2 linked regions of the Drosophila melanogaster genome follow. The gene in region 2 interacts genetically with the main gene of each other region. Each region holds a gene or a part of one and is shown on either strand. Other genes may lie near its edges.

Region 1 (4,983 bases), on a different chromosome or scaffold from region 2:
ACTCAAATCAAATGAAACGTCCAGAGATATGAATATTTTTTTGCAAGCGACTACACCTAATTTGCAGCACAGGCAGGCGGGGATGGGGATGGGGATGCAAGTCCGTCTTGGCCCAAAACGCTTGGCGATTCGATTCGATTCGATTCAGATGGGACAGTTGGGCAGTGAGCAGTAGGGCGGTGAGAAACCGTAGCGGGGGACTACTGTTCGTCTATATAAACTGTGTATAACTGTGAGGCATTGACAAGTATTTGAGATGATCTGTATTTTTGTAAGCGTAATATTTAAAGCGGCAGCCAATAACGAGACAACCAAATCCAGAGAAGCAACTATAAAGCGTAAGATATCGGGCGCAGCAGCCAACACACGCGACACACAATTTATTTGCTCAACGCAGTACACACCACACATGATACATACAGCATAAATGTAAATATATATATATTTATCTGCATACATATATATATATACAGAGTAAGTTACGCAAAGTATGAGGCTTGCATTTACATTTACGAGCGGGATATATCCTCCATATGTATATGTTATCACTAATTTGCAAAGCTAAACTAAGTCCATATATACAAACCAAATATCGGAGGTGCAAGTGACGAACACACACTATATTGAATGTTTTTGCTTGTTAAAGTAAATAATAAAAATGAAAACTCGAAATCACGAAATCCATAGCCATCGAGGATCACAATCCGCCCATTTACGGCTGAGCCTGTTCCTGTTCCTGCTGCAGTTTGTCCCGCTTGCTCTGCTGGGCAGTCAGGTGGTTCTGCACGAAGCTGTGGAAGTTTTGTTCTTCGGCGGTGCCCTTCGCGTCCTCCTCCATCTCCTCCTCGTCTTCGATTTCCGCCGACTCGGGCACCAGACTAGGTGCCATTAGGAAAATGCTGTTTCCAGTGTGCGGCGGTGGGTCCTGAAATAGTTAAGACCCTGCAGTGGGTGCACAAATAGCCGAGGAACTGTTCCTACCTGAAGCGACAATCCCAGGGGAACGGCATGGCCGTCCTCTTCCACATGATCCACTGGCTTTGGACCCGTCGCACTCTCCGCCAGTCGCTCTTGGCGCTTCTTTTCGTAAACAGGCTTGTAGTCCGTCTCGTACTCGTCCACGCTTTCGAGAATCTTCGTCAGTAGCTGGGTGAAGCCTACGCCTGTCTTGGCCGAGACGCCGCACGTTCTTAGATTCTCGTAGAAGGTGTCCAGGGTGAGCGACATGGTGCGCGTGAGGTTGCTCACGAAGCTGTGCTCCTCCTCCTGGGCCTCCTGGAAGGCCTCGAAGTCTGTCATCCAATCCATCACAAATCCGCAGTCCTTTAGGTCGATCTGTTTGAAGCGGAAAAGAAGTTTTCTATACATCTGGATATCTGGGTTGCCGGGAAAGTCGTTACCTTGTTCAGCGCCACAAGGAAGGGCAAACGGGTCTTGTACAGGATGGAGCAGGCGTACAGCATGTTGGACATGAAGGTGGTAGGGCAAGCACTGCGCTCCACATCCATTACATAGACCACAATGGTGGGAAACATGGTGGCCAGTCCCTCGGTTATGATGCTCCCGGAAGCCGACCAGTTAAACACCTCGATCTGTCCGGGCGTGTCGATCACACACCACTTGTGTCCGCGCTCGCCAGCGCGACGCACTAGCTCCGCAAACTGTGCCATTTTGGTGGTGAACATATTGAGCGCGGTCACAATGCCACCGTTGGGACCCAGTTGGTACTGCTTCATCACCTCCCGGTAGTTGACCGTGTCCCGTATGTCCACGTGCGCCGCGTACGGTACTTCCCTGCACGCCGGATCCAGGTTGACCACGTACGGATTGAACTTCTCCTGGGCGTGCTGGATGAGCTTCTGTGTGAACGTGGTCTTCCCGCTGCCGGCCATTCCCAGCACCAGTATGCACACGGGCGACTCCCGGATTCCCTCGCTCAGCGACAGCGCCTCCAGCTTGATGCTCTCCACTCCCTCTGCCATTTCTCTCACGGCTTCACTAAGAATCAAAACAAAAACAGGAGGCGCAAAAACAAGCGTGCAGAGGCAGTGTGACCGTCCTATGGAAAGTGTGCTCTTTGCGCCGCCTGAATTCGCTTCAGATACCAACAAACATCAGCTGTTGTTGCTGCTTTTTATCCTGCGTGGAAACATGTCGGCCATTACATAGTTAACACACTCCCTTAATCGCAGCAGCCTTCGTGGAATCACACATCTTCAGTTTTGCCAGTTCAGTTTTTGCTTGCCCGCCAAAAAAACAAATCAAAAAAAAATACCGAAGAGTTTAGAACATACCGTATATATCGAAAGCCATAATAAGCTTTAAACTAGTTGTACAGTAATAAAAATGCCACCACCAGAAGCCGGCAATTGAAGCGCGTTTATTTGCCGTGCATTAGTTTTATTATTTGGCATTGTTTTACATAATAAAAGTTGTGAAGCAATGGAGACCCGACTGGAAGTGCTCTTGCGGGAGCCGAATCCATTGTTCACCCGTTGGCTGGAGCGCTGGCTGCGCGAAGCGGAGCGCCGAGAACAGAAGTCCCAGTTTAGCCTGCGCCAGGCGTTGGAGTCCCTAAAAAGCTACCCTCTGCCATTGGCCAGCGGACGAGACTGTTCCATTCTGCGCGGCTTTGGGGGCACCCTCTGCCAGCTAATCGACGAGGAACTTCGCCATCACAGAGGCCTCCAATTGCTGCCACAGGAGGCCGTGGTTCAGGAGCGCTACGAGCAGCAGGTCCAGGCGGTAGTACGCAAGGTTCAGGAGAAGCAGCTGGAACACCAGAAACGCCAGAATAAATGCGACAGGCCCAGGAAGCTAACCAAAAAAGATCTGGCGGAGCTGGCAGCCCTTGAAGAGCGGGAGCGCGTCGTGCGAATGAAACCAGGTCAATTCCAGTTACTCCTTTTGGTGGATACTCAGGAAACCAGTGGCAAAAACAAGAGAGTTCTGGACCAGACGAGGAGCTACTTGGAGTCCTTGGGAGCCCGTCATGAAGTGCGTCGCCTGACAATCGGCGATTTCCTTTGGGTGGCCCAGGATCAAGAGGGCAATGAACTGGTTTTACCCTACATTGTGGAGCGCAAGAGGATGGACGACCTGGCATCGAGTATTCGGGATGGTCGCTTCCACGAACAGAAGCACAGGCTGCAGCACTGCGGCCTGCAGCACATCATCTACCTGGTCGAGGACTATGGCGATAACGAGCAGCTGGGCCTTCCACTGGACTCCTTGCAGCAGGCTCTGACTAATGCCAAAGTTCAAACTGGTGTCCGAGTGGTGCGCACGGCGAATCATTACCGATCCATGAGCTATTTGGCCGGAATGAGTCGCACCCTTGGCCAGATATTCGCCGGCAAGAAGTTGCACAGCGTGGATCGCGGCGCCATCGACCAATCCACCTGCCTGCTCACGCATTCCGACCTGGGGTTGCTCAAGTTTCGGGCCCTATATGAGGATTCCGCAAAGAATGCCCAGCTCACAGTGCGCGAGGTTTTCGTGCAACAGTTGCTACAGCTGCATTCCCTTTCCCTCGAACGCGCCATGGCTATTGTGGAAAGATACCCCACTCCACGCTGGCTGCTGGACGCATACGCGGAGTGTGCAGACCAAAAGCAGGCCAGGCTACTCCTCGCCAGCATCCCGTGTGGACCCCTGGAACGTCCACTGGGCGACAAGATCAGCCAGTGCCTACACGAATTCTACAGCACGCACTTTCGTTAGGATTAGCAATTGATTTTATGGGACATATCTAAGGTTATATACACGAGTTTATACATAAGTGAGAGAGAGAATACGTTGGACATTGAATAGTGTGATCTAGTCTAAGCCAAAAAATGTACAAGTCAGCCGCCCTTAGATGTTGCGGAAGTGCCGGATGGCCAGGTCCACCGGCAGGTCGAAGTCAAATCGAGAAAGAGCATCGATGGAGCGCAGTGAGTCGCGGAATCCGGTGCGGGCCACGTAGCTGTCTGCTGAGTAGTACGTGTCCACCAGTTCATGGCAGCTGAGGATCAGGTTCAGCCACTCCACCAGCAAATGGGAACTGTTTGAAGGAAGAGAAAAGCATTTCGAATGAAAGAAGTGTGATAAAAGCCAAGGTAAAGGTCTATCCCCGCGTCCCTGTTAGCCTTATGCTTAAATTAATTCGGCAGACTGCAAAGTCAAAAGCTACCTGCACCTAGCTAAATATATTAATATTTACATATTTATATTTACATGTTAAAGCAAAAAATCGATTAAGCAATTCATTGATAAAAAAGTTTAAGACAGTAGAGAATTGACATTACCGCAGAATTGCTGATAATTGCAGTAAGAATATTTTGATTTTGGACACTTGTAATTATAAAAAGTTTGTGTGTCTCTTGCTCTTTAAGATTCCTCTTTGCCAGGAAAATAACTATAAAATGAAGATTTGAAGATGTAAAAGGCTAGTGCTTCAAACTATGCACCTGTAAATAATATGGTATTGCAAAGTTATGCGGCTTGTAAATTCATCTTAACTAACATTCCTTCGATTTCCCAGCGTTTAGCCCATGTAAATAACTCACTTGAGTCCGGCGCAGACGAAGGCTTTAAAGTGCGCGTTGTTACTCCGTTTGTATGGACGATGCATTGCCAGAATCATGCCCACGGCGCTGAGCAAACTTTGCTTGGCGGTCACAGCCTGCGCGTCCACGATGTCCAGCTGGAAGCTCTGCGACAACTTTCTGGCAGGCGTGTTGTTGTACTCCTCGCCGTGTTTCAACCTATAATAGGCTAGTACTAGTTCCCAGGCGTGCATGGCCCTGCCCAAGCCGAGGAACTGCGAGTCTCCTCCGACGGCGGGCGGCACTACCGGAGGCCCAGGGTGCAGGCACCTCATGAAGGGAACCATCAAACTGGAGGCAGCCGATTCCGCTGGTATGCGAAGTCCGTGTTGTATAAGCTGCTGCAATGTGCGGGCAAAGTTCTTCCGCACAACCGTAGTCAATTCCCTGCCAA
Region 2 (6,355 bases):
GTGGATGCGCAGCAGAGACAGCTCAACACGTGCCATCACACAGGTGAGATGAATATGTTAGAGTTACTAGAACCGATTACAATCAATCCCTATAATTCTAGCCACGCATCTACTAAACGCCGCCATCCGATCGCTTTTCAAGAAGGTCACCTACCAGGTCTCCAGTTCTGTGAGCAGCGATCAGTGCAAGCTGGAGCTGGGACTCCTGGGCAAGCGCATTCAAAAGACCGATGTACAGCTCATCGAGGATCTGATCAAGTGGGTCGTCCTGATATTAGAAATTTTTATGAATTTAACTTACAATCCTTTGCAATAGTCGCGTTATCTGCTCTGCTGCGCCGGTTGAAGTTCAATTGCTGAGTGCAGCTGAAGTTCTGGAGCAGAATGACATCACAATGGTGCCCGGCGAGGTTTATCCTGAGCAGGGATTGCGTCTAGTCAACGTGGAGAGTCCTGAACTGCAGCTGAGCTCCAAGGAACTGTGCTGCGGAACGCATGCAACCAACACCAGTGAGCTTTCGTGCTTCTGCATCGTGAATCTCAAGCAAACCAATCGTGCGAGATTCGCATTTACCGCCGTTGCTGGCCAGGCGGCGGAAAATGTGAGTGGACTTATATATCGCCTTAGACTAGTCATTTAATCTTCTTACTCTGTTCCAAATAGGTGCTGAAAACGGCTGCCCTGCTGCGACACCGCGTTGATCTCCTCGAGAAGCAGTTCCAAACTGACAAACTCACAAACGCTACGGAGGCGGAACTGCAGACGATTCGGCACAACATGTTGCACACGGACATTAAACTGCCATACGCTTTTAAGATGGACACGCTGGAACGCATCACCGAGATGCTGAAGAGAATAAAAGATTCATCGCGCACAACCTTAAAGTAAGTTTAACTTATTAAAGTAATGTGCTCCATTTCTAAACTCTACATTTTCAGAGAATTTGTGGACGTAGAGATGCGCACGCTGCTGCAGGAGAAGCCGTTGGACACACACCCCTTCATTCTGCACTACATCACCAGTTCCGCGCTCGTGGAGGAGATTCCTTTGCAACGAGCCACCAAGCTGTGCCCGGATCGGCCCATCCTCGTAATCAGCGTGTGTGATAGCGTGGTCAAGGCTCGCTGTTGTGTACCAGAAAAGTGTATCACGGAGAAATTCAACGCTTCCGCCTGGCTGCAATCCTTTGCCGACACCTTTAATGGACAAATAGCCGCGCCCAAGGGCCAAAATCCGCAGGCCGTGTGCAACATGAAGGGTCGACGGGTGAGCAATCTGTTCGAGGAACAGTTGGAGCAGGCAATGTCCAAGGCACATGCATACGCTAAGCTTTATCTATAGGTATAAGTTGTGATTACCCTCCAAAATGTGCTAGCTGTAAGCTTGCCCTTTGAATAATTGCTCATGTGAGGAGCGAGTAAATGGCGAAGTTTTAAGGAATTTCAGAATCTTTAATCACTAATCACTACCAGGTCATCCTCCTCCTCATCTTCTGCGTTATCCTCTTGATCCTGGGGCACCAAGCTGGAGTTCATCAACTCTTCAAAGACATCCGCATTATCGGAACTTTGATTGAAGAAGTAACTTATGTTATCCAAGGGCTTCACTGGCGTTGGAATCTTTTCGCTGATGCGATGCTGCATCTTGAATCGCTCCACTGGCGTCCTGGCCAGCTTCTGCAGATCTCCCTTGACCAGCAGATCAAAACTGTCCTCCAAGGAGAATCGCTTACTCTGCGGTAGTTGATCCACTTGAGAGAGATCTCTTTTCGTTTCCACTTTGGGCGATTCATTCACATTTCCTAGACTCATCTGCGCCAGACGTAAGCTCAAATCTTCCGCCATGGGTTCGTAATGAAGCTGGTGACCATCGTGGTTGGTCAGTGCTGGCTTGGCATTCGGATTCGAGATAATGCCTTTAACTATGTCCGACATATCGAACTCTTCGGCATCGCAATCGCTTTCCAGATCGGAGGGCAGGAACTTGGTGATGGGGGTGGAGCATTGCTGACGTTGCGGAGCGGGAGCCTTGACCGGAGTACCTTCCTTCTTGCGCCCTAGGAATTGGTGCAGTAATGGCTGGTTCTCTTCAGGCTGAGCCTTTATCTTTCTGACCACTCGCTTTGGTTTCGAATTCGGCTCGTTTTCCTTATTCTCCTCTTCAGATGCGGTTTTCTTCTTTCGCGTGGTTTTCTTGGCGGGCTTCTCCTTCGACTTCAAAAAGGCCGCTACTAAATCGGGATACGCTGTCTCCAGCATGTCCAATGGCTCAATGGTGTAGTAAAGTTCCTCGATTCCCTTGGGATGCTCCGCTTCGTACTCCGCAATCTGCTTGTCCGGAATAAGACCCTTGAAGATGCCACTGGGATCGTGCCAGCGCAATTCTAAGCTGGGCACACCCTTCACAGTTCGCTTTTTGATAATCTCGTGTGGCTGGATAAGTATCTTCTCCTGCTTCGATTGCTGCACCTGCCAGCGTGTGAGTATGGGAAAGAACTTTTGGAAGCAGTATATTTCTGGCCACTGCAAGAGATGTCCGATTTGTTTGATGAATTTGACAAGATTTGGTTGCCGCCAGTTGAGATTTAGATTGGGAATGGTGTCGGGTTCGCTGAGAAACTCGGCAATGATCTCTTCGTTGGGAAAGTCAGGAGATAATAGGGCTTTCCGCCTCAAAGTCAACTCGGACTTAATGGATAGTCGTTGTTCTCTAAGGGAAGAGTTTAATAAACAAATGTTTATATTAGTTTTAGGAAATAGCTCACTTCCAGAGACTCTCATCGCAGCCTTTGTGTGTGCGACACACACTGCAGCCACTTTTTGTGTGGCTCTGGGTCTTGCCAATGTGGCCACAATTGCTGCAGATGGATTTGTCGTCCACTCGGATCTCCAAGGCATTGTATTTATCGGTTTCACCACGCCAGCTTCTCATTCTGCAGAAATAATAATCAAAGCTTATTAGCTTTAAAAATATAATATATGTAACAATGTAGTAGACTACCTATCCAAAATCTCAGTCTCCTTGTACTTGTTGAACAGCTTTAGGACGCCATCCTTGCCAATGCCACCTATGCCATCAGGACAATAATCACAGCCGCAGAGCAAAGCCATCACAATGATCTTCTGTTGGCCAAAGTCCATTCGGGATGTGATCTCCCGCATGTCGTAGATGTCCACAGCTCCGCCGGCGGCTGCCTGGGCTCCTTGGGTGGAAACGGAGAAGTTGCGATAGACACGAACGGCTCCATAGGCAAAGCAATCCGAGTCCTGGCTAATGACGCCGTCCACTAGCTGCGGACAGGAATATAATCGGATTTGGTACAGAGTTCTTGTGAGGATGTAGTTGATATACGTACGCCATGCTTGTTGAGAAAGGCACAGTAGGCCTCCGCCTCGCCGGGACCTTGGACGCACTGGATTCCCATGGAGAGCAGCAGCGTTTCGCACTGCTTGAGAACATGGTTGAACCGGCTGCGTCCCTTGTCGCCCTTGGACGGCTGACTTTGGGTGCACTCAGGCGAATTCTTGGGCTTCACTCCCCGAAACTGGAGCTCATTCCTTTTGGCTATCACCTGGCTCTTGAGTTTTGGAGCAACTCCCTCCAAAACGAAAACCGGAGTAACTTGCTCCCAAATCAAGTAGCAAGTGCGAAAGAAGAGGTTCCTGTTGGTAAAGCGTAAATATTAATATTTTAAAAGAATATAAGGTATTAAGAATTTTTTAAACCTACTTTAAATGATGCCTTGGATGCACAAAGTAGTCCACAACATTAAGAGATTCGCACACCCAGCCGGCCAGGTCGATGGCCACTTTCTTTCCCCGCAGTTCATTAATGGGTTTACGTTCACAATGGGGCGTTAAAACACCCCATAATTCCTTGACGCCCATTTAAATAAGCTAAACAAAAACCCCGCGAGAAATTCGCAACAAATTTAAACAATCGCTTCTTCGTCAGAGTTGCCCAATCAGTTACTTTCTAGCTACTTGAAGCTATATTCAAAAGCAGCCAAGTGCAAAGTTGTGACAATAATTGGCAATGATAACTTTTTTAACAATAATACATGATGCTATTTTCAATAACAAATATTATACATATAAATGTCATCTTATTCGATTTTAAGAACACATTTCGTTTTTAGCTTTTTTTGAGCTTGTCTCTAGCTACATTTGACAGCACTGCGACTTCCGCCAGTCACTGCGAAGCATGCTCGATAACCGATAGCGGGCTTTGTTTTGACAGCTGCACAAGCGACCGCTGCGAATGGCCAGTGGTCAGCAGTCTCTTCTTCTTCCACGTCGACGTGTCGTGTCAGCCAAAAGAAAGTCGAAATAAAATATTGAATTGAAGCTGCCCCTTTGCGAGTAGGCCCGACAAAATTCAGAAGCTGCCAGTCGTCCGTACGCCAAACCACACACAACCACCACCGGCAAGATGGTTCTCGCGGATTTGGGTCGCAAGATAACAACGGCGCTGCACTCGCTCAGCAAGGCGACCGTAATCAATGAGGAGGCACTGAATTCCATGCTGAAGGAGATCTGCGCAGCGCTCCTGGAGGCTGATGTGAATATCCGACTGGTTAAGCAGCTGCGCGAGAATGTGCGTGCCGTTATTGATTTCGATGAGATGGCCGGTGGCCTGAACAAGAGGCGAATGATCCAATCGGCTGTGTTCAAGGAGCTCGTCAAACTGGTCGATCCCGGCGTGAAACCCTACCAACCCATCAAGGGCAAGGCCAATGTGGTCATGTTTGTGGGTCTGCAGGGCTCCGGTAAGACCACCACCTGTACCAAGCTGGCCTATCACTACCAGAAGCGCAACTGGAAGTCGTGTCTCGTGTGCGCGGATACCTTCCGTGCTGGTGCCTACGATCAGGTCAAGCAGAACGCCACCAAGGCGCGCATTCCGTTCTACGGCAGCTACACGGAAATCGATCCCGTGGTCATTGCCCAGGACGGTGTGGATATGTTCAAACGCGAGGGTTTCGAGATGATCATTGTGGACACCTCGGGTCGGCACAAGCAGGAGGAATCACTGTTCGAGGAGATGTTGGCAGTGTCCAATGCCGTCAGTCCCGACAACATAATCTTCGTGATGGACGCCACCATCGGACAGGCTTGCGAGGCTCAAGCGAAAGCCTTCAAAGACAAGGTGGACATCGGTTCGGTGATCATAACCAAGTTGGATGGCCACGCCAAGGGAGGCGGAGCTCTGTCCGCAGTGGCAGCCACACAGTCGCCCATCATCTTCATCGGTACGGGCGAGCACATCGACGATCTGGAGCCCTTCAAGACGAAACCCTTCGTGAGCAAACTGCTTGGAATGGGTGACATCGAAGGACTGATAGATAAGGTGAGACATGCCACACGAGCTTAAAATTATACCGCACTACAATACAATTGAAAACACGTACTGAATATAAACTCATTTTGCACAGGTAAACGAGCTGAAGCTAGACGGAAACGATGAGCTGTTAGAAAAGATCAAGCACGGTCATTTCACCATCCGCGACATGTACGAGCAGTTCCAGAACATCATGAAGATGGGCCCCTTCTCCCAGTTCATGAACATGATACCCGGTTTCTCGCAGGACTTTATGACCAAGGGCGGCGAACAGGAGTCGATGGCGCGCGTTAAGCGTATGATGACGATGATGGACAGTATGTCGGATAATGAACTGGACAATCGCGACGGAGCAAAGCTCTTTAGCAAGCAGCCAAACCGCTGCGTTCGTGTGGCCCAGGGAGCTGGTGTCATGGAGCGCGAGGTCAAGGAACTGATTGCACACTATACGAAATTTTCGGCGGTAGTAAAGAAGATGGGCGGCGTTAAGGGACTGTTCAAGCAGGGCGACATGACCAAGAATGTGAATCCAACACAGATGGCCAAGCTCAACCAGCAGATAGCGAAGATGATCGATCCCCGGATGCTGCAACAGATGGGCGGCGTTGGTGGTATCCAAAATATGATGAGGCAACTGCAGCAAGGAGCTGCGGGTGGTTTGGGTGGCCTGGGGAACCTGATGAGCGGTTTTGGTGGCAAGTGAGCAGGTGGCGTGTAAATTTAACGATTTTTATATGATTTTGTTTTCGCGTAGTTCGTAATTTGTTAGCCATTTGTTTCCATTTGTCCAAGGCCACAAAAATTGATACGCGTTGTGGAAGCGAATATAGCGTATATAGCCTATAAAGCCCATATAGATGTGCAAACAGTTAACAAATTCGGTTTTTGTACGGCTTGGCAGCCACAGTGTCAGTTTTTATAGTTTAAACAGTTTTCTGTACACGAACTAATGGAATTAGCATGCCTATCAGAATACCAGTAAGGCAATTGAACTAGATATAAACAATAAATAAT

What was found. A genetic interaction does not mean that the proteins touch.
Region 1: of Gen (region 2) and mus81, changing one enhances a phenotype caused by changing the other (phenotypic enhancement), as found in Drosophila melanogaster (one study listed by BioGRID).

What each region holds. Positions count from the first base shown.
Region 1 is NC_004354.4:938,752-943,734, forward strand, and holds mus81 (mus81), read left to right. Parts: upstream 1-2,323; 5' UTR 2,324-2,442; coding exon 2,443-3,723; 3' UTR 3,724-3,855; coding exon of another isoform or gene 3,856-4,045; 3' UTR 4,046-4,478; downstream 4,479-4,983. Other genes in the region: CG3704 (uncharacterized protein), read right to left, coding at 713-925, 982-1,335, 1,401-1,982; CG3703 (uncharacterized protein), read right to left, coding at 3,856-4,045, 4,551-4,983.
Region 2 is NT_037436.4:5,148,414-5,154,768, forward strand, and holds Gen (XPG-like endonuclease), read right to left. Parts: upstream 3,964-6,355; 5' UTR 3,889-3,963; coding exon 3,731-3,888; intron 3,664-3,730; coding exon 3,357-3,663; intron 3,292-3,356; coding exon 3,002-3,291; intron 2,934-3,001; coding exon 2,766-2,933; intron 2,711-2,765; coding exon 1,453-2,710; 3' UTR 1,436-1,452; downstream 1-1,435. Other genes in the region: AlaRS-m (Alanyl-tRNA synthetase, mitochondrial), read left to right, coding at 1-43, 102-258, 317-602, 665-885, 940-1,342; Srp54k (signal recognition particle 54k), read left to right, coding at 4,433-5,350, 5,436-6,044. UniProt on the Drosophila melanogaster protein: Endonuclease which cleaves flap structures at the junction between single-stranded DNA and double-stranded DNA. Specific for 5'-overhanging flap structures in which the 5'-upstream of the flap is completely double-stranded.